2 linked regions of the Oryzias latipes genome follow. The protein of the gene in region 1 interacts with the protein of each later gene in a pairwise test. Links are inferred from orthologs where the notes say so. Each region holds a gene or a part of one and is shown in the gene's direction. Other genes may lie near its edges. The genes, in order: rsph1 and morn3.

Region 1 (4,454 bases):
TCCATTTTTTCCCCATTATAAACAACATAAAGTCTGTTGTCTGAAAGCCGCTGAGCCAAAACAAAGTGTTTCTGGGAATTTTCTAAAACTGTTGAGATGAAGGATATTAACGTAAAATCCATTTCAGGATGTGTTTTCCTCACTACAGATGTCTGTGTCACACGCATGACTGAGCAGCATCTTTAAAGGTTCCTCATAAAATCTCCACATTTTGGGGGTAAATGGAGGCAGAGCTTTGCTCAAATGGGACCAGAGTTCTGCTGGTCACTAAGCAGAAGTGCGCATTCACAATGCAGTGGCAGTTTTTCCTGTGGGCAATGTGGGCGGCCGCCCATGGCTCAATCTTGCAAAGGGGGCGGCCATGGTGCAGTGGTAGGGCGGTGGACCCATGATCGTAAGATTGCAGGTTCAATTCCCACCTTGCCCACCCATGTATTGAAGTGTCTTGATCAAGACACTGAACCCTACCTTGCCTCTGGTGGAAGGTTGGCGCCAATGTTTGGTAGTGGAGCCTCTACCTGTGTGTGTGACTGGGTGAATGGGTCTGTGACTGTAAAGCGCTTTGGGCCTTTCAAGGAAGGTAGAAACACATTATGTAAGTATACGCCATTTACCAAAAGAAAACCTCAACCCCCTCTCCCACTATTTTTCTAGTCAATCACCACTCATCTCCACAACTTGCACTGGGGCGCCCCTACTATTGTGTCAACTTGTTGCTGTAATGACAGTATTTTGTAATGTGCACGCATTGGGATTACTTACTGGAAGATAGAAGTCTGCTTCAAAATGAATTTGTTTCCATCATCTCACTCATCTTGACTCTGGGTGTTTGACAGGCGGACAAGTCTATTCAAGATTGTGGTAAATGGACAAAAGGTTAAAAGGAAACATCAGGCACCCAGTTTAGAAACAGAAGAAGAGTAGAGGTCGTTAAACTAGCCAGGACCGCCTCTGCTTGCAAGGTGTAAGACTGAAGAGCAATAACTCAGACATTTCAGCAAAGTTATTGATTTGGATCAGAAGTGAATCTTTGTGACTGGATCCATCAAATGTTCCTGTAATTTGAAGGAGAGTTAAATCAATCAACATAAATTAATTCATAATTACTGTCTATCTACTTAATCCACTTAGACGACAAACACCGTTAAAATATAAATCAACATGGTCTATGAGGAGTAATTAGTCATCATCATAGTCATAAAAAAATAAAAAGATAGCTACAAGAATGATTATTAAAATAAAAAACGCCTTCATTGTCTTTTTCCTATTTTTTCTGGTACATTTGAGGAAAAATACCCCACAAGATCAAAAACAGACCTCATCTGTGCGGAAATCTGCCAAACCTGGCATCCCCGGAAGCGCGCGCCAGGGTTGTCGTCACGGCAACGGACAAGCGACATACGCACGCGCAACGGCAGTCTGTTAATGTTAGAATAAAGTTAAAAGGTGTAAAATATGTCGTTCTCTGGTTCCGAAGATCTGAACGAAGAACTCAGTAAGCTCGCGGTAAGAGGAAGACCACACGGAACCGAGAGGTTCGACTTCCGGCTGACAGCTTTCCCGTTTTTGCTGTTTCTTTGAGGACAGAATTATGAGGGCGACAGGAACGATGCGGGACAGAGGCACGGCGTGGGCAGGAGCGTCCTGCCCAACGGAGACATCTACCAGGGCCGCTACGAGCACGGAGAGAGGCACGGGCAGGTGGGGGGCCCACCTATGCTTTCTGATTTCTTATGACTAGTTTCAAGTGTTTAAAAAAAAAAAATGATTTGGGTCAGAATGGATTCCAAATACATTAAATGGCTGGGGGGTGGGGGGTGGGATGTCTTTGAGAAGAAACCGTCTTGGTGATTTTGACAAGCTAAGCTCCACATTTCTTTTCAAATTTAAAGTAAAGCAAAAGTAAATAAATAAAGAACAACAACAATGAATAAATAAATGTTGCAGTTCTTCTAATTACCACTAGAGGATGGTTTCAGAGGAAAACCCCTTTTCTATTGACTCCTGTCTTAAAAAGTCAAACTGTACACCATAATAAAAGTATGTACTGTCTGCCATCAAACAGAGTTGTAGTAACTATTGGTTTATTTTCTATTTGGTAGAATAAACTAGTCATTTTGGCTGCTCCACTTTAGTTTCATAGTACGCAACGTGAAATCATAACCCCTTCAATTCACAACATACCAATAAATCTAGGACTCCACCCACTTTAACATCACCTTAATATCTTTATATCATTAGAAATAATATCAGGCACGAAGAGTTAAAACATGTCTTATTCAGAGCTGTCTGACTGCATTCAGGTACAGAATAAGCCAAATACGACGGATTCATTCAGTAAAGAAATAGATGCAGACATTTAAGGATGAAAAATAAAGAAAGATGTATTGTTTTTTTTTAGAACCACAGAGTCTATAAAGTGGAATATCTTTTATCAAGAAATCAAACTGAGAAAAAAGTGTTAGTAGATATATCTGTTCTCAAATTCAGTAACTTATGAAACATGTATTACTATTTTGAAAAGTTTTGTTTAGATTTTTAAGGAGAAAAACCCTAAATCTATGAAGGGGATTGACTATTAGTTAGTGTGTTTGTTTTTTTAAAAGCAACTTATAAACACAGAATCACAAGATAGCAGCTGTTTTCTTAAAAAGACCAGCTGAATATATAGAAAAGTAGCCGACAGCAGGTTTACTACTGAATACAACTTCTGTTAAAATGTCTAAAAACCAGAACAGGATGCGCTTCAACCTGACCTTCAAAAAAGACACTTCAATGTACTTTTAACATCAACATTTTTGACATTTCTTTAGAAATGATTCTCATTAATTAAACATGCAGTATGAAAGCACAGGGATGTTACTGTAATGTATTCATGTTATTGATATGAATTTTAAAGTATTTTGTAGGAATACTAACACTTTTATAATCAATTTTACACCCAATGGTAATAGCAGCTGCATATACTGTAGGCAACAATAACCTATAGATTCTTGGACGGACTGATCACTAGTAGAGTAGGCCCACGAGTGCCACTAGTGCACTACAAATCCCAGAATGCACTGACATATTAGCGCTTTGAAAGTCCGCCCGACCGCTCATCACACAGGAGTTGTGTCTTACTGGTGAACACTTTCCTTCGACCCTGAGGATTGGGAATTGTTTGCTTGTTCTCCATAAGGAAACGTTTTAGGAATTTCCATGGAAAGTTCTAGGTTTGACACCCCCGATTTAAGGGACTGTAACCACGTATGGCTGTTTTCATCCACCAGGGGACGTATCGCTTCAAGAACGGGGCAGTTTACGTGGGAGAATATTTCAAGAACTTGAAACATGGACAGGGCACCTTCTACTATCCAGACGGCTCCAAATATGAAGGTAAAACCTGTTTTCATGTAAGCACTTAAAGAATGATAATAGGTCATCTGTTTATCCAGCTTTAAAAAACAATTGATCATAAAAAATGATCAATCAAATGCAATAAGTTTTCTTAAAGTCGTTTCTCAATGCTCACACTGTCTTTGAGAAGAAGCTGCTTCAGAGTCCATAGGTGTGGTGGCATGGATCTTCTGTGATGGAGCTTTTGTCAGAGTTTTATCTTCATAAAATGGGGCTATAAGGAAAGGCCTTATAGAAAAAGAAAACAAGGAGGAGATGGCGTTTTGATTGGGTTATGGCGGCTGAGTCACCAGAGACGACTCTAAGCCAAACCGCTAACCTGATTGGCTTCTGTAAATAAAAACCTTTTGACAAGAAAACCCCTTAGTGAGGTGGAAAATGACAGGAAATATCTGTGGAATTTAAAAAATGAACATACGAAAGGACTGACAGGACATAAAGTCAACACAAAATGCAAGGGAAAGAATAAAAATAAAAGCCTGAATGAAAGAGTTTACAGTATTAGGTGAGAGCCAGTTAAAAGTAATATGGTGTTAAGGTTAACCGCTCTTGATCTGTGAAATTGAACTTAGTCAGATCTCATCAGTGTTAGATTAAACTGCTCTGGACTGATTAAGAAATTATCAAATGCAAGTGGACAATAAAAACCATCATCAATGGAGTTCAGACTCAACAATTCACCAAGGGATCAAACAAACAGTTGTGGAGGGCACCTTTGATGGTTTGGTGTGGAAATAGTCAAGTTTTTCATAGAATGTGAGAAAAAGAGGAAATGCTGAGGCCAGAACCAGTCCACTCACAAAACTGTTACTGCGTTTTCTTCGCCACATCAGGGGCGGCCGTGTTGCAGTGGTAGAGTGGTTGACCTGCAATCAAAAGATCCCAGCTTCGCCACCCATGTGTTGAAGTGTCCTTGGGCAAGACACTGAACCCCTCATTGCTCCTGGTGGTTGAGGCTGGTACCATCAGTGTGTGCATGGGTGAATGGGACTGTGACTATATAGCACTTTAGGCCTTCAATGAAGGTAGAAAAGTGCTAAATAAGTATGGTTAAA
Region 2 (3,668 bases), on another chromosome or scaffold:
AATGACTTTGACAGTTTTCTTTTTACTTTGGCAAATGTTTAAGTTCACGTGACAAGTAAGTTGCATTTCACAACTGGTTGGTCAGAGATGTTCACAAGATCAGTGGTGGCCTCGATGAGGAAAGACAAGGCCAGAAGCAAAGTGACAATCTATATAATTTAAGAAGAGAAGGTGTATGCTTTAGCTTATATTAAAAGTAGAAGATAGTGACAGCCTAAGTATTTTTTTACATTTCTCTCTCCTACCTACTTATGCCAAATTTAAACTAAATGTAAAAGCATGAAAGAAAAAAGTTAATTTGATAAAATAAAATTTACAAATGCATCTGCAGGACACATTTTAACCAGGGAAGAAATAGAAGAAATGATTAGAAAAGTGAAGAGAAGATGGTGACAAATTGTGTTAGCACAACCTTCAAAATAAAAGCAGGTACACATTTGAAATGACTAATAAACCAAAAATGACAGACCTACTTTGGTTTCTTTCATTATTTCCCTATAACCTGAAAGCAGCTGAGTGCAACTGCAATGTGTCTGTGTGTTCTAATGAAACCATCGTTACTCCCCTTTCCCTGAGGAGCAGCTCTACATTATTTTCCTTGATAATTAGGGGGACAGTTTTAATTTGAACGCAGTCCATGCTATCAGAATTCATAGTAAACACAACCGTCCAAAAAGTCATTGAGAGTTAGAAATTGTTTTAGCCAAACTGAACTAGCTTAGCAGATTAAAGAAATATTCAATACATTTTTTGTCTTTATTAATAATTAAAAGAATTAAACATGAGACGTCTTCATGTCGTTTCCGCAAGTTTAATCGATATGATTGGTTAGCTTAAAAGTAGCTGCTCTTCTGCGACACACTAGCCACAAGAGCACGAGCAACATCATGATGATGCTGCTGCTAACGCTAGCAGCTACCACAAATAATTAAGTAAAGTTTAAATATTTAAACGTCCAGCAAAAGTCTATTCGAGTCACATTTTTAGCTACTAACAGCAGAGAAAGTGGCTTCAGGTTTAAAGATAAGCTGAGAATGAATGGCAACTAACTAGCAAAAAACCATAAACTACCGTGGTCGCGACAGTACCTACTTAGTTACGGCACGCGGCAGCCTAAAAAAGCCGACATAAAACAAATCCCTCGTTAGAATAGACCACTCTCACCTGTAACTGCTGATATTCGTTGTCTATATCGTCCCATTCCGCCTGCAACTTACAATAGGACATTATGAAATAATGGTCAGTGGTGAGGACGCATGCAGTCACAATGAATGCCTCTTCCAACAGGATACTCCGTCCCACTCGGACGCTTCTTTTTTTTAATCGTGCTGCACTGCGCCTGCGTAAACCCAAGAAGGTTCACTCAAAACCGGTGGTGAACCTCGCTTCAGTTTTGTTTCGTCAACATCCCCATTTACCAGTCATTCGGATTTAGTAAAATAGCTCCAATAGCCCAGAGAAACATTCAACAATAATGTGAATGTACGAGTTTAAATTGGATTTGTTTTTATCCAATCACGGGGCGTTTTACTGTTGCTAGGACACAGCAGACACAACTGCCCTGTCGCTGTCAGCACTCACGTCCATACCTAACCGCTTACTTTCTTATTTTTCTCAGGACCACGGCGAAGATCCACCACTTTCTGTATTCTGGCATTTTCTTTGTAAGTATACATACCCCCCCCCCCCCCCCCAAAAAAAAAAAAAAAAAAAAAAAAAACAACAACAACAAAAAATCTCCATAACTAAAAAGGTCAGGAAGTTTATTGGACTCTTGTTAATCCCTCTAAGATTGAAGAAATATTTACAAAATATGCTTAGTTGTTAATTTGGCTCATTTTAGAGCATGTGCTTACCAAAATGCCACAGAAAAAGTGTCTCTGCAGACATTGAATTTCTGCCTTTGAAGGTCAATCATGCTTTAAGGACTTGCTATTGCAAATTTTTGGTATTTCATTTTCAGAATTTCAAGAAAACTTTTGTGTCTGTGTGTTTTTTTTTTTTTTTTTAAAAGACAGAACTAACTTAATGCTTTCCTTCTCCAACGTATTACTTTTTTTTCCAGTTTTGCCAAGCGCTTAGTTGCCATGTCTTCCATCAAACCCTCGAAAACAGAGCCTCCATCTTCGGCTTTGAAAGAGTCCATGACATTAAAATCTGGATTTCGACACACAGTGTTTTCCCTTAATGGGGATAAATACACCGGAGAATGGCAGGACAACAGGAAGCACGGTAAGATGCTGTATTTTAATTAGTTTTAGTCAAACTTTTAGGATTTTTTTAATGCTTCTTGTTGCCACTACTCTAATTTATTATTAAGGCATTGGAATTCAAATGTGGAAGAACACTGGCGCCGTTTACAATGGTGAATGGAGATTTGGCAAATACGATGGATATGGCACTTACTATGTGTTAGACCCTGAATCAAAAGGTTATGTGTGGAAGTACGATGGAGAGTGGAAAAATGGAAAGAAGCATGTATGTATTGCAACAGTTTTTGTTTTACTCACACAGTTTGGCACATCTTTCCCCATGTTTATTGACACTTTTTATCATTTCTCAGGGCTACGGGATTTACTTCTACAATAACACGGCAGTGTATGAAGGGGAGTGGAGCGAGGGCCAACGGAGCGGGCGGGGAAAAATGTTCCATGAGAACAGAGACATCTATGAGGGAGAGTGGATGTGTGATAAGGAACACGGGGAAGGAAAACTCTTGTATGGTAAGAATGTTTTTAAACGTCTCTCTTCAGTTTGGACTATTTGTTGTTAAAAAAAAAAACTGAATCTAACTTGCGGTCTAGCAAATGGAAGCTGGTATGAGGGCTCCTGGAAAGACGGCAAGAGGAATGGCAGCGGCAAGTGTTACAATTCTGAAAAAGGCCTGCTTTACGTAGGCTTCTGGATAGATGGCGAAGCAAAATGTGGAACCCTGTGTGAATATGAAAAGGACAAAGCCCCAGAACCATCAAAGTGTAAATTTCCAAAGGTAAAACATAGAAAAAAGGATGCATGACATATTCAGCCACATTCGTGTAATCTAATTTCTGTCTTTATTTTCTCTCTAAAGCTACATCTGGTGGACCCAGAGCAGGTTTTAAAGGAAGCTCAGTCAGTCCTAATATACACTAGTAAAGACTAAATATCTGATGAATGCTGTTTCATTGTGTCTGTATTTTCAGTTTTATACCTTACATTTTCGACTATGATCAATAAAATAGTAGCGATCACATTTTTGTTGAACTTAAAATGTAAACAGAGCACAAATTTAAATAGGATTACCACCTAAATTCATGGATATCATGCAATAAGCACTAAATGCACAATTTTAAACGAAAAACATATAACTTGACCAGAACTTCTTTATTTTTAAGATGACAGTCAATAGTAAAATTTGGATAAATCCTTATGCCAACAAAACTTTAGTTCTCAGTTTGTTTTTATAAGGTGATCCAGCTCAGTTTAGGCCCATTTTGTTAACTAAAATGTCTGCTTGCTCTGTTTTTAAACTAATAAAATATAAAATATCTCAAAATAATTGTTCAATTTTGCATTTAGCAAAAATGTTGCAAAGAAGGCAATAAAGGGTTTTCATCTGTTCTTTTTAATGAAAAAAAAAATGCCAAAACTTATCAGCAGACTCAAATAATACTGCAAATTTGGCACAA

The links.
Region 2: the proteins of rsph1 (region 1) and morn3 interact in binary tests that used the Homo sapiens proteins (3 or more experiments, as listed by UniProt). The two-hybrid records come from large-scale screens. The link is inferred for Oryzias latipes from reciprocal best matches to the Homo sapiens genes RSPH1 and MORN3.

Annotation. Positions count from the first base shown.
Region 1 is NC_019877.2:20,918,682-20,923,135, reverse strand, and holds the start of rsph1 (radial spoke head 1 homolog), read left to right. Parts: upstream 1-1,367; 5' UTR 1,368-1,455; coding exon 1,456-1,506; intron 1,507-1,587; coding exon 1,588-1,701; intron 1,702-3,272; coding exon 3,273-3,378; intron 3,379-4,454.
Region 2 is NC_019870.2:13,849,327-13,852,994, forward strand, and holds morn3 (MORN repeat-containing protein 3), read left to right. Parts: upstream 1-1,537; 5' UTR 1,538-1,664; intron 1,665-2,065; 5' UTR 2,066-2,087; coding exon 2,088-2,232; intron 2,233-2,320; coding exon 2,321-2,478; intron 2,479-2,563; coding exon 2,564-2,723; intron 2,724-2,804; coding exon 2,805-2,989; intron 2,990-3,070; coding exon 3,071-3,142; 3' UTR 3,143-3,154; downstream 3,155-3,668. Other genes in the region: transmembrane protein 120B, read right to left, coding at 1,165-1,227. UniProt on the Homo sapiens protein: Assembles a suppression complex (suppresome) by tethering SIRT1 and MDM2 to regulate composite modifications of p53/TP53.